Linked DNA regions of Oryzias latipes. The protein of the gene in region 3 purifies or fractionates together with the protein of the main gene of each other region. This does not show direct contact. Links are inferred from orthologs where the notes say so. Each region holds a gene or a part of one and is shown on either strand. Other genes may lie near its edges.

The links.
Region 1: the proteins of ppie (region 3) and znf830 purify together in Homo sapiens (affinity purification with mass spectrometry; 3 studies listed by BioGRID and IntAct, counting the BioPlex papers as one, with this or other methods). This does not show direct contact. The link is inferred for Oryzias latipes from reciprocal best matches to the Homo sapiens genes PPIE and ZNF830.
Region 2: the proteins of ppie (region 3) and dhx8 purify together in Homo sapiens (affinity purification with mass spectrometry; 3 studies listed by BioGRID and IntAct, counting the BioPlex papers as one, with this or other methods). This does not show direct contact. The link is inferred for Oryzias latipes from reciprocal best matches to the Homo sapiens genes PPIE and DHX8.
Region 4: the proteins of ppie (region 3) and aqr purify together in Homo sapiens (affinity purification with mass spectrometry; 5 studies listed by BioGRID and IntAct, counting the BioPlex papers as one, with this or other methods). This does not show direct contact. The link is inferred for Oryzias latipes from reciprocal best matches to the Homo sapiens genes PPIE and AQR.

The regions. Positions count from the first base shown.
Region 1 is NC_019875.2:26,992,021-26,999,296, forward strand, and holds znf830 (zinc finger protein 830), read right to left. Parts: upstream 3,657-7,276; 5' UTR 3,602-3,656; coding exon 2,627-3,601; 3' UTR 2,460-2,626; downstream 1-2,459. Other genes in the region: efcab14 (EF-hand calcium-binding domain-containing protein 14), read left to right, coding at 764-857, 944-1,069, 1,186-1,364; ankyrin repeat domain-containing protein 13C-like, read left to right, coding at 4,135-4,495, 4,601-4,642, 5,339-5,443, 7,110-7,195.
Region 2 is NC_019877.2:18,257,847-18,266,217, reverse strand, and holds the start of dhx8 (ATP-dependent RNA helicase DHX8), read left to right. Parts: upstream 1-4,077; 5' UTR 4,078-4,140; coding exon 4,141-4,249; intron 4,250-4,764; coding exon 4,765-4,850; intron 4,851-4,936; coding exon 4,937-5,009; intron 5,010-5,150; coding exon 5,151-5,242; intron 5,243-5,335; coding exon 5,336-5,442; intron 5,443-6,361; coding exon 6,362-6,718; intron 6,719-6,827; coding exon 6,828-6,972; intron 6,973-7,066; coding exon 7,067-7,270; intron 7,271-7,499; coding exon 7,500-7,587; intron 7,588-7,681; coding exon 7,682-7,779; intron 7,780-8,371.
Region 3 is NC_019880.2:16,794,097-16,802,241, reverse strand, and holds ppie (peptidyl-prolyl cis-trans isomerase E), read left to right. Parts: upstream 1-2,824; 5' UTR 2,825-2,894; coding exon 2,895-2,925; intron 2,926-3,245; coding exon 3,246-3,344; intron 3,345-3,433; coding exon 3,434-3,477; intron 3,478-3,762; coding exon 3,763-3,789; intron 3,790-3,860; coding exon 3,861-3,942; intron 3,943-4,024; coding exon 4,025-4,128; intron 4,129-4,892; coding exon 4,893-5,016; intron 5,017-6,301; coding exon 6,302-6,487; intron 6,488-6,562; coding exon 6,563-6,705; intron 6,706-7,207; coding exon 7,208-7,276; 3' UTR 7,277-7,473; downstream 7,474-8,145. Other genes in the region: pabpc4 (polyadenylate-binding protein 4), read left to right, coding at 8-115. UniProt on the Homo sapiens protein: Involved in pre-mRNA splicing as component of the spliceosome. Combines RNA-binding and PPIase activities.
Region 4 is NC_019880.2:7,498,855-7,506,487, reverse strand, and holds part of aqr (intron-binding protein aquarius), read right to left. Parts: intron 6,783-7,633; coding exon 6,573-6,782; intron 4,186-6,572; coding exon 4,048-4,185; intron 3,962-4,047; coding exon 3,890-3,961; intron 3,797-3,889; coding exon 3,609-3,796; intron 3,498-3,608; coding exon 3,326-3,497; intron 1-3,325.

The DNA.
Region 1 (7,276 bases), on a different chromosome or scaffold from region 3:
TTTTGATCACATGATCGGATCAGGACATCTGTACCTAAAGATGGCCTCGTTTTACTTTTGTACTAGGCCTGCACCATAAATCGTAAACTTATCGTTATCGCAATATCAAGCTGTGCAATAAGCATTTTGTAAAAGTCAGTGAAAATTGCGATAAATGGTTATCTTAAATGTTCTAAAACAATCTTATGGTTGCTTGAAGTATTTAACTAATCAAATAAATGCCTTTATGCATTTGACCAATCAGATGGAGCCATTTTATGTTAGATGTTTGCCTCCTATGTAGACGAGGGTCATGTGGATTATAATTTAATTTATGTTGACTCTTATTTAAATTAAACTGTTGCAGTAAAATGGAAATGATGTTTTTGGTAGTTTTGCGATTTGTTTATGTATCCCAAGTTACATCGTCATTGTAATATTGATCATTAATATAGTAAATTGCAAGTTTTCCTCATATCGTGCAGCCCTATTTCGTACCGATATTTTGTTTTCACCTTGATAAATTGATTGTTCTATATCATATTAATTCATTTACAGGGTTTTCTGTTTATTAAAACCAAAATACGGGTTGTTTTTAAAGCTTTTGCTGCTCAATTGGCACAAACTGCCATCAGGTTCTCCCACAAACTCAATATCATTCTGGGTGTAAAACACCTTTATGCTAAAGTCCAACAGTTAGAGTTAAGCTATTGTGTGTAATGCTTGTCTATTTTTATTTTGTTTATTCCAAATACCTAAAATTTTACTGTTTTTTTTTTCTTAGGTGCAGAATAATGGAACAGAAACTTCACCAGAATTTAGCCAACCTTCAGACAACAGGATGCTAAAGGATGCTCCTACAACCACAGCATCTCCTGGTACAGTAATACTGATCAGTTTCTACTAACCGTAAACTGTATTTTCACTGATTCACTGTAATGTTTTTTCTTTTTTCATTCAATAGAGTCCGCTTCACCACTGCTGACGACGAGCAGACGGCCTCGCTTTTTAACTGTACCCCGGCACAAGAGGAATGCGGGGGTAAAATGTTCAAGGAGGGTGTCCCTGCGAGGTGTCAGTTCTCTGAAAGGTAAAACTACCCCATCTTACAGGTTTAAATAAAGTACTTCCTAGACCACCTCAGCCCTAAGGTGGTAATCCAATAAGTGTTGCATTTCACATAAAGTTTTGTTGTTTTGTTCATAGATTTAGAAGACCTGTTTGAGCGAGCCGCTGCAGAGCCTCATTCTCCCGGTCTTACCTACAACGACCTGAAGGAAGTGTTGCAGACGTCGGCTCCCAGCGAACGCACCATGGAGTGCTTCGACAGCAACGGGGACAAGATGTATTCCCTGACAGAGCTGAGAGTGGCCGTGGGTTTTTAAGCACACATTCTATCAGCAGTGAACAGTATTGAAACCCAGACAGGTCTGGAGGGCTGCAAGTTTTTTTTTCTGAAGTTGCTGCATTTTATTTTGTGAATTGGATTTTTGTCATGCTGAATGGGGGGGGGGCAGTGCTGATCTGCTCAATCCTTCTATCCTAAGTTCCATTTTATCTTTTCATCCACCACAAAACATTACCAAATATTTAACTGTAGTGTTAGGAAGTCATGTCTGCTTCTTGTTTAATCGAATTCTGCTTATTTTTAGAGATGCCTGGAGTCCATTTTTCCACCTTCAGTGTCCGACTTTTATCCATGTACTCCTGTTTTTGTCATCTGGATGTAATGATTTAGTGTTTTTCTATAGTAGGATAGAACATAACTGCCAGTTTATGGAGATGCTCCTCACCTATTCACACAACTATGCGGTCCTGCTAACCTGAATCTTTAGATCTGTATTTTGAATGTTTACAAATGACTACTAGAAACACAGTTTTTGTCAGACCTCTGGTGTTTTTATACCTTTTCCTTGTTGATCTTAAATATGAACTTTTATGCTCTTTCTTAAGATGTGACATGCATATTTTCCTAAGTTACAACTGGGATCAAGTATTTAGTCTGCGTCCTTCTCTTTGTACTTTTTCCTGTTTCATATTTGAAGGGCTATACTCGCTTTGAATCTTTGAGGTGCATCCGTGTGAGGCAGATTAAGCAATAAAAATGTAGTTTAGGCAGAAAGCACACCTAACTTGCAGTAACAGGTAGTATAAGAAGCACTGACCATCACCTGTTAGGCGTTTGAATACAAAACTATCCTGGTTCCTTTTGAGCTTTGTAAAAATGTATATTCCCTTGTAAAATGAGTTAAATTGAAAGTTTAATCATTTGTATTTTACTTTGCATGTTGCTTCTTGTGTGACATGAAACATTTGGAAATTTTAAAGTGTGTAATGTTTTTTCCGTGATAACTGACGAGTTCATGCTGCTACTGTACATGGGAGATTTTATGAATGTTTTGTGTTTGAGCACCAATAAAAGAATGTTTAAGGTTTGTTTTTGGTCGCAATAGTTTTGACAAAAGACAGAGAAAACGCTGTTCTCCTTTGAATAATCCATTTTACTTGTGATTTGCAGTTTTCAAAACCCATTCTAGACCGGACAAAAAGGAAAGTTAGTTATAAATCTCTTGAGTTGACAGCATTTTTTGTACAAAATAATTGTTTTGAGTTGAGTTGGACACAAGAAGTGATGCATTTATGAAACTCAAGCAAGAGCCCCTTTGGCCCTCCAGTCCTGGGTCAAAAGTCCCAACAATTCCTCTTCATCATCCTCATCGTCTACGTCTTCCTGTATTTCTTTTGGTTTGTCTTTTTTGGGCAGAGCTTTGCTTTTCACAGCATCTCTCTTGTCCCGCAGCAGTTCCACCCTTTTGTAACACTCGATTTGCTCGTCGATCTCGTCTATCTGGCGCTCCAGACGCCCCTCTTCATCGTCCTCCGCAACGATGGCCTCGGATTTTGTGTTCACTTGGCGAATTTCTTTCTGGAATTCTTCCCACTCTTTGTCCATATGATCCTTGGGAGCATCCACATTGCGCACTTTGGCATCCCTTACTGGGTCGTCGAAGAAGCCCTCGGGCAGCACCTCCGATGTGTTTTCTTTCTTCTCGGGGGGCTTTTCCTTCGTTTCGGCTTTCAGGACGGATCCGGAGTGAGAGATGGCGGGTGTGGATGGGATGGAACTGTCAAAGAAGTCGGCTGGAAGGCCTCCGTCCGCTCCCTGAGCAGGTGCCTCAGACTCAGCGTTGGCATCCTCGTCGTCATAAACACCGGCTAGCAGACTCAGACCCGCAGACTGTTGGGTGGTGAGAGGTTTCTCAGAAGCATCGGATGTAGACTGACTTGCAACCGACGCGGGCTTCGCCTTTTTTGCGGTAACTGCTTCGGTGTCAGGGGCTTTTCTCTTCGGTGTTTGACTCGGCGCTGGTGTCGTTTTTGCTCCTTTTAGCTCTGCAACGTTATCCTTGTGTTGTTTACCGAGGACATGAGCCGGCCACAGTAGATCGGACTTCACCTGCACACTACAGAGCGTGCAGCTCAGATGTCCCAGACTGTTGTATTTGGCGAACGGAGACTCCACGCGCTTCTTGTCAGCGGTTTGTCTTTGTTTCTCCCTCATCAACCGCCGGAGTTCTTCTTGATTTACCACCTTTTTCCCCTTTTTTGAAGTCGCCATCATAAGAGTTTGTTGTTAGCCAGCGAGCTACTAGCTAATCAGCAACAGCCCGTCTCATTAAAATGACGTAGCACCGTCGTTCGTTTGAACTACCGTGAAATCTCGCGATACGAGAGAACCTAGCATGAGCTGTAGCCGTCCGTTTATTCCTGCAAACGCTCATAATTCGCAGCCGCCGTAATTTTTCAAAAGTAAGTACAAAAGATGATACAAGGAAAAACGATGTAGCTTTCTGCGTTGTTTTTGTTTATTTACAGTGTTCTTTTATGTTCAGCATCAATTTCAGTATCATAGCCGCACCCATCATAATCATACAGTATTTTTTTTATTGTGACTTAGCAAGCTAACCGGAAAGCCACCGTCTAACGTTTAGAAATAATTTTAAATGACAAAAATATATAGTTAACTTGAAAGTATTGGCGGTTTATTTGATTTCACTTTTTATTTAATTCGCTAATGCTGCTTTGCGGACAAATTAACGTCACCGATACACCGTCGAGTTCAAGGCTAGCAATCCCCCGTTCTTCATCATCATCATGACAGGTGAAAAACTACGGTCAGTGCGGAAAGACCACAACAGCAAGCTTAACAAAAATGAAGAGATAAGGGACATTTATGACGAAACCTCTAACGAAACCAACCCTAAAGGTACCAGCAACAATTTCAAGATAAATAAGGCTCTCCAGAAATCCATCGAAAGCTCGTTGCTGAAGCAGCATCAGCATCTCAATGCAAACAACATCAACGACAACGCATGCGTTGATAAAAACAAGAATCCTATTATCCTGACCAACGAGGAATTGCAGTTTCCTGTGCACGAGTGCGTGTTCAAAGGAGACGTGCGTCGACTCTCCTCCCTCATTAGGACACACAGCATCATTCAGAAGGATGTGCATGGTAGGTTTTAATATACTTAATTCCTATTCATGTTTATCCTTAGTTTTGTTTTTAAATGCAATCTTTTGTGTCTATTAAAAAAGGGAAAATTGTCTGTCTTTTCAGGAAACACACCTCTTCACCTGGCTGTGATGATGGGACATAAAGGTAAGCTTGAATAACAATAGCAGAAATTATTTGGAGCCTTTTCCCTTTACCCTGGTAATCTGTCAATCTAATTCCAGAGGATTATGTTATAAAAAAAAATCTAGTTAATTATTTATAGTGGTGTAACAACTCATTTTAACAATGATTTGATTGATTTCATAATTTGTGGCTGGGGTTACAATTTATTGATATTGTTTCAGTTTGAAGGATCCAGTTTGATCCGATTCATTGACACCAAATCGACCGAGAACATCTATAACCAAAAATGTGGCATAATGTTGTGGTCACATGTCTTTGCAAAGTTCAAAGTGTTTCCACACATTGGACTGGAATGATGGCTTGATCATTTTTTGCTGCCATCACATGTGCTGTGATGCACTTGGTCATTTTTACGTTCTAGTAAAACAAACCTACAGTGCCTCCATCCAACATGGATTTTAATTGACTACATTTAATTTGAAACGATTATATAATGGTATGCATCAATTTGATTTTTTGAATCAAACGCATATTCTGACAATAGGAAAATAACTTCTTCCATAGTAAAAATGCATTTATAGCACCCTAAAAATGGCTTTGTATTGCCTAAAAAACCTTGTAAATGTCCCAAGTAAAAATATGGTTCTTTAAAAACACCTCCCCCTACTGTGTCAGTTCAACTTTACTCACTGGTTTCCTTTATTTGTAATCTTTCAGAGTGTGCTCTCCTTCTCCTGGCCCATAATGCACCTGTGAAAGTAAAGAACGCACAGGGATGGAGTCCTCTGGCGGAAGCTATCAGCTATGGTGACAGGCAGATGAGTAAGCAATCAGAACAAACCAAGTCCTCCTTCTATTCTATCTGTATAATTATTTAACAGATTCAGCCCGATTTGTTTTTTCTGTTATGTTTTGTTTGGAAAATGTTACATTTTTCTACATTTTTTAGCATTTTAGTTGTTGAAAGTTAAATCATATGTTCTAAAATGTTCTATTTTGCTGACAAACTCTTTTAGAAGGAAACAGCCTGTAAATGTTGAACCTACTGCTTGAGTCAAAGGTAAAACTATTAGTGTTCAGAGGACATTTCTATGACTGATCAACTAGCAGCTGCCGTGTGGGTTCAACTCGAAAGCTGAAGGTCGGGATTTTCCACGAACTCGCCATCCAGATGATCTGGATATCAGCATCTGCCACAGCTTATGATATTAAAAAGAGCTTAGCTTATAAGATCTTTACTGCTCCACATCAGAATAGGACTTCTTTAAATTCAGTGCAGCCCCATTTTTGAACCAACTTAATAAAAAAAGTCAGTTTTTAAAGAAAAAGCTCCCTCTTTTTTCATTTCTCAGGGTCTCTAGTGTAGTAAATCAATGAGCGTGACCTCTGGTACCCTGCGCTTCGGTTATCTTTGCATGTCATGACAGACTGGTCAGGGAGAGGGACTCGGGAGCTTTGAGGAGGTCACAGCTTAGAGAAGCAGGTGGAAAAGGAGCTGACTACATTCAAATGTTCAGCAAGGACACTGAAAGTCAAACTCCACTGACACAGCAGGGTGTTTGGACTTTAACCTAAATAGCATCAACAGCAGGTACCGTTCAGTTAAAGCAAGGTTTGCTCTAGAAAGCACACCTTTGTTTTCTTCTCCTAGCAGTTCTCAAAACTCTGCAATCTTGTCATCTGTCATCGCCTGGGCGCCTTGTGTCAGCAGCTCAGTTGCTGTTTGTATGTGTGTGAAACTATTACATCCTGGAGCCTTGTCAGCACTGCCCCTCTTAGCCACATCCATCCTCATTGCAGCATTTCTGAGATTACTGGGATATACTCAGAAGTGCTGACTTGGTTCATCTGGTCTATCATTGAAGGGTCACTGGTTAGCTCTTTCTTATTTATATATAGAGAGATGGGACTTTTGAACCAGTTATTCCCATCTGCTGATTCAGTCATTGCCGGACTTTGTGCCAATATATTACATTTGATTTGATTAACCCTTGTGCTATCTTAGATGACCCCACCCTTCCATTGACGTGTTCTCCCTACCATGACAAAGGTGGATAAAGGTGGAAGATTTCATGTAATCCATGGACACCAGTGAAGATCACAAATCATTGAAGAAAAAAGGTTCAGCGCACTGTAGTGGGTCTAGATGACCCAACTCCCAACATTAAAGTGCCTAGGATAGCACAAGGGTTACAAATGATTTCATCTTTTCTTAGGTGATTACCTATGATGACATAGTGGTAAATAATTTGTTTGTGTTTAGACCACAGAAAAATTGTGAACAGTGAAGTTTTAATTTGGTAAAAATTCTACACTAAAACCTAAATTTAACAAGAGAATTTCTGTATGAATTTCCATGACCTTGATTTTGTTTGTATTGTTCTTTCAGTAGGATCTTTGTCAATCAGTCGTTCCCGTTTATTTTAAACACTCATGATGGGGCTGAAAGTTTGATTCTGCGCTAAGTCATTTTTGTTGCCATTTCCAGTTACTGCAGTGCTGAGGAAGTTAAAGCAGCAGTCCAGGGAGAGTGTGGAAGATAAGCGGCCAAAATTACTGAAAGCTCTCAGAGAGGTGAGTGTTTCTGTTCTGGCTGGAGCTTCATGTATTAACCTGCATCACAGAAATCTGACTGCTGACATTAAACAAAATACA
Region 2 (8,371 bases), on a different chromosome or scaffold from region 3:
CTGCTTAGTGACATCAGAGCTTTTAAAAAAAGATTAAGCTATCTCAAAACATAATCTTAATCATCAAATATAATTAATTATGTTTAACATGTTTTTACAGGTGTTTTAGTTGTTTCTCCAAAGATGTTAATGTGGGAGTTGCACCTTCAGATAAAATAAAAGCATTTCAATGGGCCTTTTAGATGAACGTTTACTTCGTAATCTTCATGGTTAGGAAACCATCAGCAGCTCTTAAACAGGTCAGCTGACATGATGGGTAGACAGTATTCTGTCTGGTCCTCTTAAAAACCTTTTGTCCTTGAGAAACCTTGGATCATTTTACATAAGAAGTGTGATCACAAGAATTCTGACACTTTAATCATTGGAAGCAATAAATCAGGATAACTTGCCTGCATGGCATCATCATGTTTGGTGACATATTGTTTGGAGAGAGCAGACGATGCAAATATGACCTGGATATGTGAGAATCTGGAGTTTCATTTATTTATTCACAGGCTTTTACCAATGATAATCCCATATGAGAGTGTTTCTTTGTCTCACAGTCCGGTCAACAGCAGAGACCCATATCTGTGTCAGATTTATAAAAAGTACAAATTGCTGACATTACTTTAAATTAAAATCCTAATCCATTGGTTTTCAATTTATTTTAAAAGCATTCCCAGTGGTCTTTTTAATTATGATTTTGCCATTTTAGCCAATTGCAAAAAACCTGTGTCGTTTTCTGGGACAGTTTCTGCAGAATTGTGGATGGGACTGTTGCCACAGAGCAACTCCATGTCCATCACCCATCTGTATACACACTCTTTCACTATAATTTACAGCCCCTTACAACCCCAACCGAACACTAACGATGCAACAAAAATGGCAAGCAATATTGGAGCTATTCAGCCGTGGAGTTTTTAACCAGACTCCGGCTCAGACGAGGAAAAGTACGACGTTCTAGGATCTATTTGTCTACAAGTGGATGCATAGGAATGGAGCAGAGCAGGAAGCCTGTGGCTCACTCAGCATATTTTTTTACCTTTTTACATTTAAGTCTTCCTGATTCAGAATTTGAATAAAGAAATATGCAGAAATGCAACTTTGAATTTAGGGTGGATTCAGACTGGTCACATTTGGCTCTCTTAAAGTAAAGCAGAGTTTGTTTCCCCCGACAATCTGGAATAAACTTTCAGTCTGAATACACCCAAGCGGACTCTGGTCCAGGACCAAGAACCGCTCACTGACCCATGTTTCGAGGTGAGCTTCGGTTCACTCTTAGATTTCCTAAGTCTGAATGGGCTCTGTGCTCGGAGCAGAACAACTAATCCAAAATGGCAACCGCAGCCAGGCATTGCATGATGTAAACAGAGTAACGGAGCAGCAGTAAGACACACCAACTCATTGAAATGTGGTTGGATGAAAGCAGGCTCATTAAAACAACTTTTAACATGATACACATTGCCTCTAACACAATCCAAATAATCTACATGTCCTAAAAACGTATCAATGTACCTTCTTAGCAATTAAAAGTAAAATGCCATAAGAACATATTACAAATACCTATTATACTAGTGGGCCTTTTAAGTCATTCCAACAGTCATTTATTTAGCAAACAACACAAAAAATGCCTCTCCATGGATAAAACTCTTAACTGAAGATAAATGCAGTTATCATTGATTTTGTTGGTCATGAAGCTGACAGACTTTGCACCTCCAGAGTCAGCAAAAACATGAAACTGTTGCATAACTCTTCTTCTTGTTTTCCTCTTGGCTTTTCCCTTTAGGGGTCACCACAGTGAATGAGGTTCCTCCATCTGACCCTGCCTTCAGCGTCCTCTACTCTAACACCAACTACCTTCATGTCATGAAAATGTTACATAAATCTAAGACACAACAATAAAATCAAAGGATCTGTTTTAGCAATGGGTCCAAACTGAACCACCTCTTTCTTTGTAGAGTGAAGATGTGAATTGATTTTTCATTTTTTAAGCTTATGTTGTAGGAAGACACTGTACAGGGGCGTAGTGGTTTGCGCTCTCTACTCACAGATTGATTGATGACACTAAATTGCCCCTAGATGTGTGTGAGTTTGAGTGTGGGGCCTTACAGCAGAGGGTGTCCTTTTCCCAAAAGTTGATGGGTTAGATCCAGCGACCCTGTGACCCCAAAAGGGATCAACCAGGTTCTGAAAATGAATGGATGAATGTTGTTGGAAGGCTAACTGCTACCCCTCAATTTAGCAAGTGGATATCAGCTGTGATCTGGCTAGTGCAGCTTTCCCACTAACCAATCCCTCAGCAGCTGTTTGGTTCCTGCTCCTCATGCCTCTTTCTCTCTCTGCTGTGTCTTCCTTACTCTTTGCGCTCACTGCTCTGTCACAGCTTGGAATTTTCCAGTCTGCAGCAGGAGACCATTGCAGCCAGCTGGGCTGTCAATTGTAATTTATGCTCAACTCTCACACTGTTTGCACACACTCCTATTCTCCCAGCCAGCTTTTTTTGGTGTGTGTTTTTGCACAGCGATAGACTCATGTGGACTAGCAAGACACCTCACAGTGCGCTTAGCATGTTTAGCTCTGTGCACCCTGCAGCAGATCCCATCATCCTGAAGGCACTGTGTACATTAAAGCTCTGCTAAAACAACCAAAGGAAGCTTGGTGCACAGGGTTGGTTATTTGGGCAGTCCAGCAGAAGTGCGGATCCACACTGTGGGCCTCAGCAACCTTCTACACTTTCACTGCTTTTCCACATAGACTCTCATCTCATGCAGTCTTTGGAATTTGCTCCAAAAGAAACAAACTTGTCTTTTATGTCTGTCTTTCTTTCGTTCCCTGTTTTGTTTCATTTAATCTCACAGCTGAAATCCTCCGAGGGCACACATGTACATGTAACATGTGATCTGTACACATCCGAGGTTTGTAACTGTTAGCGACACATTTCCCAGCTTCAGCTCAGAGTATGTTAGGCCTGCAGAAGTATTTTAGATTTATCTATTAAAAGTGATCTTCACTCCAGATGCAATATGGATTTATAAAAGCCCTTAATCTGTTTTCCTTTCAATATTTTTTCTACTGAATAAATCATTATAACTATGTGAACCCAGGCTGATATTTGTGCCGTGTTCAGTACAATCCAAGGTCAGAGCAGCTATTTCCCAAAGGTTTTCATGGCTGACCGGCATTATTGAGATGCTGATTTGAGTTCTGCCCACACTGTCAAGGATATCAGTTCCTGGTTTAGAGAGCCTGGTATCCCTGAAACTGATTAAGACTCACCTGACCTAAATCCTGTAAATGTTCGGGGCTATAAAAAATAGGAAGATATGAGATACCAGATGTTCAACAACACAGAAGAGCTGAAGACCATGGTTAGAGCAATCTAAGCATCCATACAATCTCATTAGAGGGATCAACGTTATGCAGAATTGCCACTGTAATTGATCAAATGCAAGTCCCTGGCATGCTCAACTTTCTCAACCGTCCAATTTTCTTTTTTAAAAATTTTTATTTTTCTGGTTTGAGATCATTTTCTTTAAAAAAAAAAGCCTCAGAAAAGTAGTTTAGGTGTAATTTCTAGAGTTTTAAACCCATAAAGCCGGATAGCTCTGATGTGTCAAAAAATACAGCATGTGTCAAATTTAAGGTATATTATCATAAGGATAAAAATGTTACTACAATGTGATAGTATACTCAAAGATCTGCTAGTTTACTTTGGCTTGAACCCATCATGGCATCCTGCTTTTGAACCGTCTTTACAAAACCCCAACACTGAAAGTCCACATAAAATTAGAGGAGATAAAGCAGATAAAAGCATTCTTTTAAAGCAAGTAGAGAAATAACATATACTAATATATAAAGTTAAACTTATTATTTCACTGAATATCTCGTAAAGAATATTTGCCATAGAAAAAAACTATACTTTCAGCAGTTAAATTTACTCTTCAGGTGGGTTTATTTTTATTTTTTTCACTATTCTATTTTTACCACTTTCCTTAACTTTTAATGGGTTTTATTTATCGAAGCTTTGGCGCCATCGTGTAGCAGGAAATGATAAGCTACCAAATCCCCAGGATCGTATTTCCGTTTACTCCGGAAGTGATTAAATATCTAACCTGTCCGCTGTCTGCTACGATCTCTGAACAAAAACAAGGCTCGTGGAGGATGGCAGACATTGGGTTAGAAGAGCTGTCGCAGCTCGAATACTTGTCTTTAGTGTCCAAGGTTTGCACGGAGCTCGACAATCATTTAGGAATAAACGACAAGGATTTAGGTGAGTGTTTTTTTCTCACTCCGAATTGTTTAAAAACATCTAGTTAGCTTTTGCTAGGCTAACTAGCTGTTATGTGGCTGTAAACAAACTAAAGCGTATCCCAATGTTTATTCCTTGTTAAAGAATACAAACAACAGTTAAACATGTTAAGAATACTGTTACCGTCATGCGCGCATGACCTAGCTTACGTATTGAATATTCGTTTATTTTAAAATACGTTTCTAGCTATGTAGTTAGCTTGTTTCTTTTCAGCAGCAGGCACGCAGTGGCATATTGAATAGTTTTTATTTTTAATTGATCGAAAAACAGTAATGTCAATGTTTAAGTCTATGAACAAATTACAGATCACATCAAAGACTCCCGTAGAAAGCAACAACTAATATCTTTCAATAAGCCTTCATTGGATTAATCATTTTTAGATATTCATAAATTGATATAACGTTTTCATTAATCCAGTAAATTTGCAGGTCTTTTTTTGTGTTTGTTGAAAAAACCTTCTGTTTCTCATTTCCCAGCTGAGTTCGTCATCAGCCTCGCTGAGAAACAACCAGCCTTTGATGGATTCAAAGCTGTTTTACTTGAAAATGGAGCCGAGTTCACAGTAAGTCCACTTCCAGCCGCTGACCTGTGACCCGTTCTCCGGTGGCTCCTGTTGAAAACCGCCTCGTTTTGCTGTTTGATTTTCAGGATTCTCTCATCAGCAACTTGCTCAGACTCATTCAGACGATGCAACCTCCATCCAAAGCATCAATGAGTAAAGGTATGTTGATGCTGAGGAACATTTTCTCCTGATTTAACAGCTAATATGCATATTTATACCAAACATAGTTCAGATCAGTCATCCATAAATAGTGATTTTGTTTGCTTCTCGTTTAAACTAAGCAAGTGTTATCTCTTTCAGTCTCAGAAGCATCTGTCAAACCCAAATCAGAGAAAGACAGGCTAAAGGAGATGTTCCCCGCACTCTGTAGACCCGATGATCCTGTACCAAAAGTAAGTTGGGAAAGGATTTTATCACTTTATTTATTCATTTTTTAATGAAAAAATGCTGACATTTGACTTTTTTTTGGTGTTTGAATACTTTAGCAACACCTGGATGAGGACGATGTCAAAGTAGCAGCTGATGCGATGAAAGAGCTTGAGATGTTTATGCCCAGCGTGAGTGGGGCAGAGTCCAAGGGGGGCAAGACAAAGTAAGACTTTGATTTTTGTAGAATAAAATCATTTGTATAGAAGTTTGTTTTATTGTGTAAAATGGAAACAGTAAACAGTGTGACCACAGATTCTTAAAAGGTCTTTTAAGTCCCAGTCTGATCCTCTTTTGATATAGTTTCAAAGCGTTCCCAGTAGTTTTCTAATTATGATGATGATATTTTTAGCCAAAATCCAAAAATCTGTGTCATATGAGGACTTAGTTTGTGCAGAGCAGCAGGAGTTCATTAGAAATTTAACTCTGAGTTGTGGGCTGAAACTGTTGGCACTGAGCAAGCCCGCCCCCACTCTTCGTCACCCATCTATTGGAGCTATCCAGTTTTGGGCCAGAAACCAGCTCCGACGAGGATCTAGTCGTCCACCAGGGAATGTAGCAGAATGGAGCGGAGCATGGGGCTTGTTGCTCGCCGCAGTGGCTTTTACGTGACACCTAAAATCATCAGTTAACCGCAATCCCACACCGTCACAGCTCTAGTTCTGAATTTCATAGGGCTCAGTCTGGTACATTTTCGGTATTTTTTCAGTATAAAAAAGCCAGAAAAAGATTTCTTTGCAAAATGCATTTATTGGTTTTATGTAACAATAAATAAAAATTGACCAATGTAGGTGATTGCTTTATAAAATAAGAAAAATTATTAGCTGTCAGGAACCAAAAACTTTGAATATTTTACACTGGGTTGGAAAAAATTAAAAACATTTTAACTTGCACATTTTTTTTTTGCTTGTAGACCCGATTTTTACATTCGGGTGATGCTGTTTTAAGTGTGTTTACAGATTCGATGTGTTACATACACTATGAACTGCAATGACATGATTCTGACCGTGGTTGGAAAACGCTGACTGGGGAGATCCTCTCCAGGGTAGAATGTACTTTGAGTTTCTTGCAATTATGTATCTTAGGTCGGATAAAAGCAGGCATCGCAGCAGAAGTAGAAGCAGAGACAGACACAGAGACCGAGACCGAGCCAGGGATCGAGATAGAGACAAGAAGCGGCGCCATCGTTCTCGATCTCGATCCAGATCTCGCTCCAGAGATCGCCACAGAGATAGAGACCGAGGCAAACGAAGGGAGAAGTCCTCCCGCTGGGGTGACCGTTCCCCCAGTCCCCGAAAGGAGCAGGACAGGGATGGAGACCGCTGGAAGGACAAACATGTGGACCGCCCCCCTCCAGAGGAACCTTCTGTTGGGGACATCTACAATGGCAAGATCACCAGCATCATGCAGTTTGGATGTTTCGTCCAACTGGAGGGATTAAGGTCAGTGTGGGGTTTAAAAAATCAATTACCCTGAATAACTTCAAAGATTTTTCTGACCTTCCTGGTCTGTTGCTCTTGTGCCTTCGTGTTGTGAACTCTTCTGGTTTAGGAAGCGGTGGGAGGGACTAGTCCACATCTCTGAGCTGCGTAGAGAGGGACGAGTCGCCAATGTGGCTGACGTTGTCAGCAAGGGTCAAAGAGTCAAAGTGAAGGTGCTGTCGTTCACAGGCTCAAAGACCAGTCTGAGTATGAAGGTAAATAAAAGATTGACTCATGGCTTCAAGAAAGATTTGACATGTTCTCACCTTTGCAACTCCTAACTTTTATTGATTTATCTGCCTTCGCCAGGATGTGGATCAAGACACAGGAGAAGATCTGAACCCGAACAGAAGGAGGAACGTTGGTCCAGAAGGAGAAGAGGTCTCCATGAGGAACCCTGACCGACCCTCCAACCTGAACCTTGGCCACGCCCCCGAAATGGAACAGGACGACACTCTGGAGCGCAAGAGACTCACAAAGATCTCTGACCCCGAGAAGTGGGAGATCAAACAGGTGTGCTCTAGTTTTACAATTTGAGTGTCTGCTTTTCACAGAGATGACTGCCTCTTTATTTAATTACAAAACGGATATATTTACTGATAACTAATTAATTAATTGGCCTCTAATCTAAATGGCCATCGGTCAAAAAAATTGATGTCATAACCTGTTGAACATTATTCTCTTTTGTGAGGTTTCTTTTGTGGAACTTTTTCCGGTAACAGAACCTTTTGTTGTTAAACAGATGATTGCTGCCAATGTGTTGTCCAAAGAAGAATTCCCAGATTTTGATGACGAGACAGGAATCCTGCCTAAAGTTGATGACGAAGAAGGTAAGAAATAGTCGTCCACTTCTATAAATGTTCCGTCTGCTACAAAACCCATAAAGTAGAACTTCATGCAAAGTTTGAATCCACTTTCCTGCAGATGAAGATCTGGAGATCGAGCTGGTGGAGGAGGAACCCCCATTTCTGAGAGGACACACCAAACAGAGCATGGACATGAGTCCTGTTAAGATCGTCAAGGTAAACTCAATTCCCTGTCGCTTCAGACTGAATAACAACAGTTCTGACTGAACTCAACAGCTAAATGTCGTAAATGTCATCTTGTTGGAACAAGCTTTTCTATAAACCTTATAAAGACCCACTCTGATGAAAATGGTGTGTTTGGTGTTTTTAACATGCAGATGGAGGATATATATGAAGAGAATTATGAATCAAATTGAATTTCTGAGTATTTCTCTATTCAAATTGTTGTGAATCAGGAGCAGCCGAAAAACAAGCTGTTTGAAAAAGAGCGTATCTGTGATGTCGAAAATACGCCGGGCGGACCACAAGCAGGGAACCCCAGAGCAACAGGCTCGCCCACAACTCAGCTGAACTTCTATTATGAGTATTGGTAGCTGTTGTCTGAGTGCTGCTGATGTGTGAGTTACTTGAACTCAGACATTTTCTTAGTCAATCCAGTCGGAACAGATGGCAGAGTTCCTGAAAACTGGTTGCCTTAAAACGCTACTTAGTGCTGCAAGATGTTGTGGAAAGAAAACTGACACAAACTCGGTTTTAAAACAAAAGCTGAGCTTTCTCTTCACAAAGGTTGCCTTCTCCGATTGGGAGG
Region 3 (8,145 bases):
TGATCAGGTGGAGGAAGCTGTTGCTGTGCTGCAAGCTCACCAAGCCAAAAAAGATGCAACCCAGAAAGTGGCAGGCATGGTTACTGCCACTGCTGCTGCTTCTGCTAATTCCTGAAGACCGGATGGCGTAAACACCTGGTTAACAAGTATATAAATAACAGTAATACTTGCTGTTTCAAGCATTTGTGATTTTGCTGTAGTAATAATGAATCATTGTGTCTTTTCAGAGGTAAACGAGCTGAGGTGAACAGGAACACACTACAAAATCCTTCAAACATGATGAAAACCAAGGAAAATACTTTCAATTTTGCAAAGTACTTGAATATTTTAAAAATCCTTAAAGTGGATCATTTTGTAACTCCATAATAATTTTTAACTGAATACCAAGATCAGAATGCAAATTTATCTTGAATACAAACTCTCTTTCAGTGGCAAAAGAGGGACGTCATTTTCATTAAAAAAACCAAACTGATAGGAAAGCCTTGAAGTTTGCCTTTGCTTGAAAGCTTCACATTTGACTAAACTGATGGGACTCAGTCCTATCATGTTAATGAGTGTGTGGTATTCTCAATAAACATGTTATATATTGGGCTTAGTTGTCTTTTATTTTGTTGTCTAAGGTATTTTACTCTTGACAGAGTTAAACCAGTATTCTAGTTTTAAAATTTATATATATAATCATTCTTCTTGATGATTGCTCACATTGTTTTTACTTCATATTTTGCTTTAAAGAAAAAAAAAGCTTTTATTTTTACTTTATCCTGTTGTTGACTGACCGATGATCAAAAGAGCACAAAGATGTATTTTAGTTTTGTTAAGATTTTGAAACAAGAATTTGAATTAATAAAAATAAATATTTTCAAAATAAAAGTTTTCCCATGTTCACATTTGTCTGAGTGATAGCTTTAGATTTCAGGCAAGCCAGAGCAGTGCTATTTTAGTTTTTTGTTAGTGTCTTGATGGAATTTTCAGTGGATCCAAAAAAAAAAGTAGCGTATGAATGCTCTTTCTAGAAAATAATTAAATTAGTCTTAACAAGCTGTTTTTATGACTTTAGAGTACTCCCCCCACCCCGCAAATGTCATTTAAATAGACAAACTTCACCTTTTTCAGAGGATTTAAAATCAAGATGTTTTTCTTTAAATCACTTACACAAACCTCAAAATGATTTATTGGAAGTAAAAAATCAAGTAGAGGAAATTAAGTCTGGCAGACATTCCACATTGCTCTATGATCTAAATGTTTTGAAGGTGCCAATTGCACTGTGGTGTAGTGGTTAGCACTCGCCTCACTTCAAGACAACTCTGGATGTGACTATTCTGTGTGGAGTTTCCATGTTCTCCCAGTGCATGGTTGGGTTTTCTCAGTTTCCTCCCATAGCCCAAAAATGTGCTTCATGGTTTGTTGGCAATTGATTTGGCAATCGGTTAGTTCAAAAGGGGCCCAAGTCCACAATTTTTCAAAATAGAGATATTATATGTTTTATGGTCTTCAAGGGAAAAGCTATATGATTATGTGCAAAAAAGTCCCAAGTCTGTTGTAATGTATTGACTATGCTTGACATTTAAAATGCATTAAGTGCAAAATTCCTGAACTTGGGCCTCTATTGTATGGGTTTAGTTTTATCCCATTGATGGCAGCACTAGTTATCCAATATGGCAACGCCCCTGTTTAATACAAGAAGTGCCCAAGTCCAGAGACTTTAGTTTGCTAGTCCTCTGAAATTATAAAAATGAGGTGCTTCATATTATAGCATTTGTAAGCTATGAGCTGGTGCTAAATCTGGGTAAAGTATTAATCATTTGGTGTTGCCTCCCTTTAAGCTATGCAATTAAAATCATTTCCTGAAAAAAAAACCTCTTGGACTTGGGCCCCTTTTGAACTAACCGATTCAATTCTGAATTGTCCCTTAGGTGTGAATGTGAGTGTGTGTGGCCTTGTGACAGGCTGGTGACATGTCCAGGGTGCACCCCCCTTTTGCCCAACAGTGTCTGGGATAGGCTCCAGCAACAGAGTGAAACCAAACGAGATTCGATGGGTTTGGGAAATGGATGGTTTGGATGTATCATTTGGAACAAACTACCAAAAATTCTCTGTAAGTGAGAATTTACATTTAAAAATGTTGATCTTTTTTAGCTGTTGACCTGTTCTTCTGAATCGGCCATAAACACAGCTTTCATCAGTGAATTATAATGTTATTGTTTGTAGTGAAACACAATGTATTGTGCTTTACAACTCTAGTGCTACAAAGGGAGTGGGGTAAAATTGTGCCCTTAGGGTTTTGTTTCAGATAAAAAGTATAAAACCTTAGTTAAAACATGGTTGGGTTTCCGTAAGAAGAAGGTGAGGACTGCTGGGTCACTAAAAGCAGTGCTTCTCAACCTTTTCCCACTTTCTCTGCCAGGTAACCCTCAACAGTAAATCAGTTTAGAAATACAGAAAATTTATGGAACAATAAGATAAAAAATAATTTGAAAGTAAAAACAGTTTAAAGGGATTTAGCAGCATTATAACAACAAAACTCTAAAGCAAAAATTACATAACATTAGTGTATTTTAGCTGTCCAAAAATTATTGTGATACATAAAGTATATATTATATTTGAAACCACTGAGCTGTTTTGTTTTATTTTTAAAACATAGTTAGGTATTTCCATTTAAAAAACAAAAAAGACAAAAAGCCAAAACGACAAATATGATTGTTTTCATCTGAAAACTCTGGCACATTTCACAAATGTGTTTGAAAAGAGTCATATTGACGGTCATTGGCTCTATAGATCAGTTGCTGGACCTAAATATGACCAATAGAGGGCGCTGTGGATAGTTGAAGAGGCGGGCTTCCTTTTGATTCCACCAATCAGAGGCCGAGGTTAAAGTTCAACATCTAGAATCCAATATGGCGTCGAATAAAAGGGTTCTGTATGTCGGTAAGTAATGATAACTTTTTAAATTAACTATGAATGTCAGACCGATCAAGTTACACTCCACTCTGAACTAAAACAGAAATTAAAAGCTCTTTTATGCTAATTCCTTCTATAAAAACTTTTTTTTACCATTTATGCGGGGAAAACCAAGGCGAGTCAACGTTGTATTCCGGTCTTATAGAAACCATCACATGCTGCTAAGCCAACTCATACAGAGCTCACTGTTTTCGACTTTAACATCCTGGTTAATGTACGATGTGTTCATTCAAAAGTACGAAGATGAAGCATTGAGTGTTGAGTGTTTGCGCTGCTGCTTCCTCCAGGTGGTTTGGCGGAGGAGGTGGATGAGAAGGTTTTACACGCAGCCTTTATTCCCTTTGGAGACATCACAGACATCCAGATACCCCTGGATTATGAAACAGGTCAGATCAAGTTTTATTTTATAATCATATAACAAAAAAACAAAAAAAAAACCCTGATCATTTAAGTATTTTTTGTGCTTACATTTTAGAAAAGCACAGAGGCTTTGGGTTCATTGAGTTTGAGCTGGCAGAGGTTTGTGCTTTTAAAGTTTTCTCCTTTTGAATTGAATTATTGATGGCACAAAGGATGGATTCAGAAAACTCATTTTTTAAAAGGTATTCACTTGAAAAACGTTATAGATTCACCAAACCAACAAGAAAAACTTTTATTTGTTGTTTTTTTTAAAGTGCAAATCAAACTCTTTGATTTGATCATATTAATTTGAAAATAACCCAGAGTTGTATCGGTGAATCTTTAACAAAAGTGAGCTTTTATTTTCTTGAATGCATCCCTTTCTCATCACTGTCTTTCCTTCAGGATGCAGCAGCAGCTATTGATAACATGGTAAGTGACTAACAGTTCTTCTTATTCTTTAAAAAGATTGGGTTTAAATTGTAGCTTTTTTTTGCTGCCAGAATGAGTCTGAACTTTTTGGACGGACTATCCGAGTGAACATCGCTAAGCCCATGAGAATCAAAGAGGGTTCTTCTCGACCAGGTAATCATAGAAGAAGATTCTTAAAATCTGCTTTGTTTTTTATGATGTGGTTTTGACCTGTAACTCTTGTTTTTGTGTTCAGTGTGGTCGGATGACGACTGGCTGAAGAAGTTTTCGGGGAAAACCTTGGAGGAAGCCGAGGCTGAGGCGGTAGCAGCAGGAGAGGCACCCAGCAAAACACAGGAGGTGAGAACTTTTTGTTTTGTTTTCAGGACACTCAGTTTATTCAGGGAATTAGATTCTAGATATTTAAGGTATAAGGTCACTGCATAAACATGTAGTAAATGAGCAATCTTTTTTTCTCTTTAAATCTTAATTTTTAGAGTATAGTTCAATAAATTTAAATGTACAGACCCGTTAGAGGGCCTTTATTTTATTTTTTCACTGAGAAAAGCAGGTTTTGGTGAAATATTGTTGCGTCAGTGTAAGACTAAAAATGAAGAGTGTAAAATGTACAGTGAATGATGAAATGTCATGTCAGGAGTGAAAATCTGTCTAATTTATATAAAAACACATCAAAACGTGACTCATCAAAAAAGCAGGTTTGTGTTTACAATCCAGAGAAATCTGCATTTTCTTAGTAATCCTCATTTAGATTAGTTTGATTGATCCACTCTCCCAATTAGAGAAACCAACTTTATCACTCGCATAACAGTAATAAAATTAGAATTAAAATTGATTCACTGGAGGAAGCAGGTTTCTTATTAAATGCACTAAATGAGTAAATTATCTGGGTGTGTGGGTTTATTTGGAAAGTCTTGGCGCATTTGAACAACAAAGGGAATCAGAAATCCTTTACAGCATTTGAGCAGAAATTACTTCCATAACGGTTGAGAGATAAAGTTAAAAAAAAAAACATTTGTAGGACTATTTTTCATTTATTTATTCATTTTTGCAGGGCTTTGTGTAGGCAATAAAAATATGATAAATGCATTTTTCTGATTTTGCAGGGGGAGCCACAGGCTAAAAAGAGCCGAGTAAATCCACAGGTCTACATGGACATCAAGATTGGGAACAAAGCAGCAGGAAGACTGCGCTTCCTCCTGCGGGCGGACATCGTTCCGATGACTGCAGGTCTGCACACTCAACCAAAAGATGAAGCAAATATTAACATTCTTCTAAAAAAGTGCAAACATTTGCAGTAGGGGCAAAAATGTATTCAGTCAGCTACTATTGTGCAAGCTCTCCCACTTAAAAAGATGAGAGAAGCCTGTCATTTTCATCATAGGTATACCTCAACTATGAAAGACAAATTGAAGGAAAAAAATCAATAATTTACAATTAAATTCTCAAGAAATGTGATTTTTTTTTTCTTCTAATTTTGTTTCTCATAGTTGAGGTATACCTATGATGAAAATGACAGCCTCTCATCTTCTTAGGTAGAAGAACTTGACCAATTGGTAGCCGACTAAACACCATTTAACCCCACTGTGTCCTTTAGTCTCTCTTTGAGGTTGCTGATGCACACTCTATTTACTTTGAATATAATATCAGTCTTCTAAATTCTTTATAAATTATTCAAAAAATGTTTTTCTTTCTGTTTTTATAATAAAAAATAAACCTACTCCCCAATTCTGATTTGAGACAGGACCTGAACATATTGAGATTTCATATCCTATTTTTTTTTTTAGTCTGGGGCTGTGGTCTTACAATATATGACATAACCGAGACCCCTGTTGGAGAGAAATGGCAAAACCACAACTACACATTAAAAAGTCATGTTTCAAACAAATATAGGGACTTTCACCATATGGAAATTGCAGCAGCAATCCTTCACTTTAAAGGATCTAAATAGCATTATTTAGACATTTCTGTAATATGTACCATGTCTCACAAAAGGACAAAAGTAACAGCCTCTCAGCTCCCCGTCCATCAGTCAAAAAGTGACTCCTCGCATGTTTATATACATATACATTTTCTAGATTTCTGGAAACTGGCTGAGGTATGATAACGATTGTTCCAAAGAAGTGCTACAGTTGCAGGTAAAGGGTTAAAAACTGAAGCAGGTAGAAAAGGCTGTTCCTCTGCCTGAGAGTTTGTTTTACGGGATAAACCCACAAGTCCAGTTCAGACAATGAGCGGAGGGTGCAGCAAGAGGAAAGAATGTTCTTTCACAATAGTTTTCCTGCAGTAACACCATTTCTACAGTGCTAAACTTCAGCGAGCTGAGCGGCCATTGTTGCATTTTTTTGCACCAGCTACCTGTATTTTTCTGTTGTCAATGAATGTGTGGAATTAAAGTGAAGTCTTTGGGGAAAATTCTGCAAACATACTCCTACTGATAGATAAACAAAGCCCTGATTTCCTTTGTAGTTACTCTTTTTGTAAATAATATTTGCTTTCTCTATTTTTTATCAAGAGAATTTCCGCTGTTTGTGCACACATGAGAAAGGCTTCGGCTACAAGGGAAGCAGCTTCCATCGCATTATACCTCAGTTCATGTGTCAAGGGGGCGACTTCACCAACCACAACGGCACTGGCGGGAAGTCCATCTACGGGCGAAAGTTTGACGATGAAAACTTCGTCCTCAAACACACGGCTCCAGGTGAGCATCCTGGTTTGGGGACATCAGCAGGATTTGGGGGATTTCTGAGTAAAAGCTTGTGTCTTGTGTGCACAGGGCAGCTCTCCATGGCCAACTCTGGACCAAACACAAACGGATCTCAGTTCTTCATCACGAATGACAAGACAGACTGGCTGGATGGCAAACACGTGGTGTTTGGAGAGCTGGTGGAGGGGATGGACGTGGTCCGAGCAATGGAGGTACAGTACGAACCACGAGCTTCATCCATGTTAAGTTATGACACGTCTGCAGTGATTTATGCAAAGTTTCCCTGCATGGGGACAGTTTGCATAGAAGATCACTTCTTTCTCTGCACAACTTTCCATATTTTATGGTTTTCTGCAACTTCTTTTAGTGTTGAAGCTTCAGTAAATGAGTGTTCTGCTCACTGGAGAAACCCATGTTGTCACATTCTCTTCTTAATTATGGAGGCTCAGTTGTTTTTCTGTCACCCTTTAAAAAGCAAACTTCTCTATGAACGCAATTAAAATCATAGTGGGGTGTCCATATAACCTTAACGAAACGTAACATTATTGCACTTTTGATCTGTTCAGTTTACAAAAATAAAAAAGAATTTAGTTCAGAGGATTAAATAAATGTAACATTCTAGATTTATAAAGAACGCTGCAGTGGCAAACGTTGTGATTTTAGGATTTATTAAAAATGTAATGTCTCGTGTAAATTCTTCTGCTTTGGTTGCAGGCTCAGGGAACAAAAGATGGCAAACCCAAGCAGAAGGTGATCATCTCAGACTGCGGCGAATACGTGTGAATGAAAACCAAACCATGGCTTTGTGTTTGCGTGCAGAAATCTTCATTTGAGAGCAACAGACGGGGGTTCTGGGCTTTTGTATGTTTGAATTGGCATCTTCTGTCCTGTAAATATTTCATTAAATACTTTTTATAAAGAAAGGAGAAGTTGAAGTTTGTCATGTATGGATAATCAACACAAGAAACATTTTTTAGGTTGTTTTTTTGAATTTTTAAAATAACTAAAATGTGTTTCAAAAGTTAAATAAGAGAAAGTCAGCAGTTATCTGAAATGGAAAATAACGTTTAAAAGCAACAATGCATCATAAATAACACAGAGTGAGGAAATTGGCATTCGATCTCTTTTCTACAAAGACAGGGACTTGGATTTACACAAAGTAAAACTCAAGTTTTACTTAAGTCTCTAATGCTGAGATTTCAGCTTTAATCTTGTGAACAAAATAAATAGAAGTTTATTTCATAATGCCTCGTCGTTGAGAATGCAGAAACAACAACTTCCTGTTATTGAGTCCCTAAAAGTTATTTATTAACGTGACAATAAAATATTCATGTTGACTATATGTTTTCAAGTCTTAGAATTAACGGTACAGACTGTTCATCCAGTCATCTCTCTTTTTTTTCTGTAGAGATAATTTTCAGTCATGTTAGTTGTCACACTGCGAGGTGAGTGAAACTTGTTCTCTGCAGTTGACTCATCCCTTGGGGAGCTGCACACAGCCACACCCAAGAACCATTTAACCCCTTAATGATGAGTGTCAATCAGGGAAGCAATGGGTCCCATTTTTGGGGTCTTTTGCTTGGATTTGAACACACAACCTTCCTTCTCAGGGCGGACACTCTACCACAAGGCCATCGAGCTAGTAAAATGGA
Region 4 (7,633 bases), about 9.3 Mb from region 3:
ACACCAGGAAAACCATCTAAAATATGTCTAACCATTCCAGTTTCAAACCCTCATGTTCCTGTTAAACAAAAATGTTCAAAAAGTTATGAATTTGATTAATTTAATCTAAAATTTCTAAATTTAGTCACCAGAATTTAGAAAGTCCTCAAGTAAAAATACAGACCATAAAAGACGAAGGGATAGAACAAGAACATAGAAATAAACTGCACATAAAGATTAGCATAAATCTACACTGCCATCGGTTTCATCAGATCAATTGCTTTCATGTAATATAAGATGCATAATGTGAAGCAGAAATGTATAAGCTGTGTGACAGAAAGGCCATTGATCTCACTGTTCATGAGCCCTTAGACAACACTGAAGTAACATCAATGGATTTAAACTTCATTTAGAAAATGGGAAGAAGCAAAAGACTTCTGCATGCATTTATTGGTTCCGACATGGTTCAGCTTTAGCAAGTTTAATGCAAAACATGTTCAACTATCCAGGTCTGGATTCAACTCCAGTGTTTTCCATCCGTCTCCTTGGAAAGTCAGTATTTGTTTTTTTATATCCTGGCAACTAAGTGAGAAACTGGTAACCTGGAGGGGAGACGAGATTCATGTGACCTGCTGCCTTAAGACGCGCACATGATCTGGATTTAGGAGTAAATGAAGGCCTGAGGAAAATGCATGGTACAACCAGAAGAAGGACCAGGACTGTGAAACAGTAGAGAACGTTTTGATGAGCAGTACACTATTGTGAAATCAAATGAAAAAATACGAAATAAAACAGTTATCAATGAAAAAATCATTTAAAAATAAATAAGTTATCTGCAAAAGCAAACATAAGACAACGAAAACTGAATATTTAAAATTAGAGACGAAAAAATGGGACATTATTTTTTAAGAAATGAAACTTTTTTAATTAAAAATTTGAAATTGTGTAACTAATAATGTTGCAATAATGTTGCAAATGCAATCTTGAATATGCATAAACAAAACATTTCGCAATTAGACTATTTTAAAAAAATGCTTTGATTTTATACTACTGATAATCAAAAGAGCTGTTTTGTTTGTTTTTTACAATTATTGAACATCTACATTTTCAAAAGAACGTCTGATGTTTCATTTTAGGTTGTCAAATATTATCAGCGTAACTAAAAATCTAATACAAACAGCTGTATTGTCATTTAGAAAAACCTGTTTCTCTGTGAAACTTTATAATTTTATATTGTGTATTTCTGCAACAGGTGGATACAGCATTGAGACAAGCATAAGACATAACATTTGACCAAATAAATGGCATTTTGCTGGTGTTTGTGCAAAAACAAACAACCCCATCAGCAGATCCGCCTGTCCGCACGCTGTTTTGGAGTCTGAGCAATGTCATGATGAAACTCAATCTGGCTCCTGATGTGAAGGACAAACCCTCTAGTGGGTGCCGGACAACCACTGTAAGCTTGCAGAGTAATAGATTTAACTTAAGAACTGGCAGGTGAGCCACAGAAATTTAAAAATGAATGAAACTGCTGTAAAAACAACCACTTAGGAGGAGCTGGAGGCACAGCAGGAATACGATTCTCCACATTGGAGGACGTGTGTACGTGACAGTATCTCTGTAAAAGAACGCAATCAATTGTGCTCAGAAAGTGCTGCATATTGTGCAACATGAGCCATTCAGCTGATCCTGCAGTGTTTTTATGGGTGCTACAGGTGTAACAGATACTGATGTCATGTCATTGAAAATGAAGTGATGGATGAATACGGACTCATGCTGCACGTTAAAGTAAAAGAAAGGGGAAAAAAGGGGATTACAGAGGAATTAGCAGCTATATGTCCTTGATTACAAACCATGCCACTGATATGAGCAGTGAAACATTAAGTGTTGGTCGAGCGGCTAGCTAAAATGTTACAGAACAATGATAACTGATTAATTTAATTAGAGCAAAGTATTACATTTAAAAACCTAGACAAAGACTTTATTTTGATTTGCTATATTTAAAGATTTCTAAAAGTGAATGATTTTATTACCTTTCGCAAAAAAAGTATTTGCATAAAAGTGGAACTTCATCAATATGATGATTCGTTCTTACACTAAAAACAAACAAACTATTGTCTGAAATAATTCAAAAAAGGTTAATTGATCCATGAATCTGATGCATTTCATGATTCGATTGTATGAAATTCCTCCACCAAAACACTTTGGATTTGCCTAAATCTCAGAGTGTCTACAGATTTACAGAAGTTAAATTTAAGGATTTTTACGACATTTTCAAGACGCTTAAATCAAATTAAAGGCCATTTGTACAAAACCAAATTAAAAAAATTACTACGTTAGTGCTTTTTATGTTTTAAACTTCAAGTCTAACAGGCAGAAACTACAACATTAAATGTAGTTTCTGTCACTCATTCAACTGTTAAATGAGGGTCAAAAATAAAACATAACATATCTGAACTGCATTTGTAAATAATTTTTAAAAACGTACAAAACGGTGCAAAATTTACTTTTCAAAAAGCTTAATTGACTCTACACCGTTTGCTTACCAGTTTTCATGTCTGATTTTAAGACTGACTTCCTATTTTTGTTTTTACTCTGCTCTACTTTTTTAAGTTCATAAGGTTGTAATAAATGTTTTCCCATAAAATATTTAAATAAAAACTAAAACTACAGTCAAATTGTGTCCAACGAATCCAGAACATGCAGATAATCTGCTGTAATAACCAAGTCCACAGTTGGAGGCAATAAATCACTGCAGGCTGGCAATAAATATGAGAAACAGTCACTAATTAAACTAAATGTCTTTAATTAAAAGTAATCAAAGCAGGGGATGAGTGAGCAGGTCTCCAGTCTTTACAGATACCAATTTAAGCAAAGCCTGTCCACCTGCTGCATTGTCTTTTTAAAAAGAAATGTAAAGTTCTTTGTCACTGTGCATTTTAATATAAAACTTGAGAAAATGTTTGGCTTAAAAGAACATTTTCTTTTACCTCTGAAAAAAAAAGATTGTTATGGTTTCCTCCTATTTTCCAATTGTTTTTTCCACCTACTCATCCAAACCAGGTACCGTAAATCCCATTAAAAACACTTTTCACAAACAAGCTTTCCCTAAAATGTGTCTATGACGACTCTCTTTCATCCAGGTTGATTCCATCATAGTAGTAGGTTTAAAGGTTGTCATCGGGACTTGGTTTTTAAAGTTGAAGACGTTTCACCTCTTATCCAAAAGGCTTTGTCAATTCTCCAGATGACAACCTTTAATCCTACTACTATGATTTCCCTAAAAGGATTTACAACAAATTTGGTGGATTACATTATTTTTGTACACTGAAGCGTTTTTACCTACCTGATAAAAGTAAGGAGTGGGCTCGGTTTCGCCCACCCCGTTAAAGTCCTCCACGTTGATCAGCTGAAAGTCAAAGGTCAGGCCGGGATTGGGCACTTGGAACTCGGGAAGTTGCTGGACATGAGGCAGGTTACCCAGATGTTTATAGCGCCAGTTGTAAAGGTTACAAAGGCTGTGGAATGACAAACACAACTTTTCTTTCAGTCAGCCTTTCAGGGTGGAAGCAGCACTTTCACTGTTAAGCTAACCCCAGAACCCTGCTTTGTTTCGTCAGTGTTCCCACCTGGCGCGTGCACGGCCCTGTGCATCCAAGTCTATGGTGGGAACTCCCAGGCGCACAAATCTAGTGAAGAGAGACTGCTCCATGTTGGAGTACTTCTGGAAGGCCATGTTCTTGATGACAGGGGGCAGCTGGTGGTGGTCTCCAATCATAATCCAACGCTTCAGTCTGCTGTAACCATCCTCTGGGTTCTAGTCAAAAGAAGATACAAAGATAGAATAATTGTTTTTACAGAAAAACTGTCTAAATTGGCAATATGTTTTAGTTTACAACAAAAGTCTTGCCTGTAACAAAAGGGGGATGAAGGTCTCAATCTCCAGAATTTGAGCAGCTTCTTCCATCAGAATGTTGTCATACTACCAATAAGAAGATTCATTTGGTTTATGTTTCTCAATAATGTGTTACGGAATGCTTTCTTACATCTTGATGTAAATGAATCTACCTTGAAAGCAAGCTCCACCAGGTCATGACGTTTGAGTGCTGCATGCGTGCAGGTCATGGCAATGATTTTGGCCTCTTTCACAAGCAAATACTTGGTACGGTCCAGTCCACTTCTGAGCAACTCAAAGGCCCTAAACTCCTATAAACAAGGATGAAGATTGGGTTAGTAGTGCATCTTTATAGTGCAAAAAGATGCACTATAGAGCTATGATGCTTAAAAAAAACAATCAGTGTGACAGAACTTCCTGTTTCTATTATTCATGCCTTTTGTATTTGGAAAGTTCAGTTTCACTGCAGAATGTAATGAACAGTTCCTGTGAGCAAAGACAATTATTTCTATCTTCAAATCCTGGGAAAATTACAATAGTTAAATAAAAAAACACTTTTAATGATTTCTTAAACTAAAAACTCTAACTAAAATCCAAAAATAAAAATCCTGTCAAAGACATTCATACTTGATCTATTGTATTGAAATTTGAGAAAACCCAAACAAAACATTTACAGGTTCAATTTTTTTTATTTTCTTTTGGAAAAAGGCAACAAAAATAATCACAGGAAGTAACTATAGGCATCCTCCAAATAAAATATATACCGGTATTTTAATTCACCGGTTTTGTAAAATATAGTTTTGGTTTTAAATCATAAATGTTTACCCCAGAATATACAAAATAAATTTGAGAAAGAAAAATGTATTTTAATTTTAATGTATTTTTCTAGAAACCTCAATTTAGAAGTAAAGTGAATAGATATGTTTTTCAATGCAGGCTATTATGGTATGGATAGATCTTCAACAAATCAAAGAGGCTAAATCACTAAACATATTTAGAAACATGTTAAAATCCCTCCCCACGCACACTAAATGTAACAAATAGATAAAAAATAATAAAAAGCAAAAAGGGGTTTATACAAATTTACACTATGGTTTTTTTTGAAGATATATAACCTCTTTTTGTGATTGTAAAACCTGTCCAACGCAAAAGGCCTTCAGCTCTGATCTGTTTGCTCAGTTGTTGGACATAAGAATTGTGTTTTGTATGTCTTTATTTAAACAAAAAAAAAGGTTTATGTGTTTAAACTAAGTATATACTATCTGTACTAACTATAATACAGTTTTAAAATATGAAACAGTTGTGTCTGTGTTTAAGAACTCTTAAAAGAAATGTGACCATCACTAACAAATCTAGAACAAGCAGATAAGCAAATAATTGAATGTAAATACACTAGAAGTGTCTACTCTGAGGGAATATACCAATATTCTCTTACAGGCGGCTCCTCTTTATTGGGTAATATGTGTTTTTTTAAAGCCAAACAAACCCAAGAAAGAACCAAATATCTGCTTTTTTAGCACAATTTCAAAGGGGGGACAATAAAACCCACATGCTCCTTTCCTTTCCTTCTTGGAGGATTAAATCGCTGAAAAAAACTGCAGCTTTATAAAAAGCGTTTCATGCATGGTTTTGAATGGCATCTAAGAACAGTAGCTGGGTTTTTGACAATAACCAACCAGTTTCTTCCAGCAAAACCAGTACATAAAACCGAGTAGGAGTATGGGTGAGCCGGCTGTTTCAGGTTACCACATAAGCCATGTAAAGGGTAAAGGGGGAGGAAGGAAGAAGTAGACTTGGACAGCACTGGGGTATAAATGTTTGATGTGTTACTATCTTAGCATTAATATTAAATCGATCAAAAAAATGCAAAATTAATAAAGTCTATTTTTAACCTTTATGACTCCAGAGTGATCAGAAATTTAAATTAAGGGATTAAGGATTGGAGAGAATTCCAGAAAAAGAAAGTTAAATTAAAAAAAAGTAGAGAAATGTGGTTGGATGTCAGAGCATCTGCAGTAACCCTTTGTCTCCAAAAATAGACAGCATATGGAGTTATTCAAGATGGATTTTCGATTTGAAAGACAGACAGATAAGCTAAAGTAGAAGGATGCTGCTCCTGCTACCTTGCACCATAAAAAGCAGCACCTCCTAATGGGGTTGCAGATTTCACTGCAGCATGGGAGAGGCTGAGGGAGGAGGGAGAGATGCTGTGATGCAGTGATACAGAGGCCAGCCAGATAAACCAAGGTCACCACACATGTCGGGATGTTACCTCTAGCCAATAACTTCTTTATTGCTTTTTGGAGACCATCTTGGTGTTCCCATAAATCAGAGGTGTTTTTTTGTTAGACCAACGCTTGTGCTGAGAAGAAATAATGGAACCTAGTCAGCTGTATTTGTCAAGTGTTTTAAATTAATCAGAAAGGGGGGAGAAAAAAAGAGGATAATTGTCTACCTATGTTGTCTTCTTTAAATCATAGTAATTACGTGTTTTTATAAATGCCATTTTCTTAATTATCAATGTTTAAAAAGCAACTACATGCTTTTAAGTCTGCTTTATTGTTTTGCAAAAACCAAACTATTCAAGCAAAAGAGGTTTATCTCAACTTTACATGGAATGGGATGCAGTGTTTGAATAAATCTAAAGAGTAGCTCAAAGAAGGAACCAGTGAACGTTGGTTGTCGGTGACCTCCTTACCTCCAGCTGGGTGAATATTTTCTTGATGTGGCGGTAACAGCCCTCTGCGATGTCCATGTCCTCCTCGTATGATCGGCCTTTAAAAACAGGCTGCGGCGCGTTGGAGAAGTACTTGTGGAAGGGAAAATGTGCAGCAACATCGCCCACGTCCGCTTTTTTGCCTTGTTTGGGTTTGACTTTGCTCATGTATTCCTCCCAGCGGGACATAACCTGTAATGGGAGAGGAATATCAATCAAGCTTTATTTACTGATATTCTATTTTCTGTCGGCATGAACTTGAGTGTCAGAGGATGAGTACTGCCTAGCTGTGACTGCTTAAATCTACTTTAGCAACTGCTGAATGCCAGAGGACAGCATGAGGATAAACTGATTCTAATTTTATTGTTGCAACAAAAATAATAAAACACAGCAATGAGAAAAGATTAGCTTTGTGTTTTCTGAGGAGGTAATAACTAAGCTTAAACTAAGCAGTAGAATAAATATCCCCCACAAATATTCAGGTAAAAAGCAACTTGAAGCTCTAAACTGGTTTAATGATCTATCTCAACAGGGTATTAACCATCTGTGTGGACTTTTTTTTCCATAGCTCGTTTTATTATAGAAACCTTTAACTGATAAAGATGCACACAATCATCATAAATCACAGACACAATCGCCTTCAAGTAGTTTGGAAACAAACCTCTTTAAATGTCACACACGTTATCTGCCACTTTGTTTTGCAGCTTAAAATGATTGGAAAAGCAAAAATAGCCTCTCTAAAGCAACTAATTATTTTTAGGGGGCCAGTTTTAAACAAAACCCACTATGTTAAAAAAAGAGACAAAAAGAAAAAAGATTTGTGAAACAAAAGGTTTGGGAATACTTTGATTTTTTAATGTTAAAGTCCATAACTGAGTGACAGCTCAAAACTCTCTAGAGAGATAAAACTATGACTTATTAAAGATTGTAGAAATGGATTGTGGGTGTCTTTAAAAGGAAAAACTCTTAATTAGAGTTTTGCTAATGAAGCTTGAGAAATAAACAACTGCCTGCAAAAGCATTCCTCATAAGCGCTTGAAGAA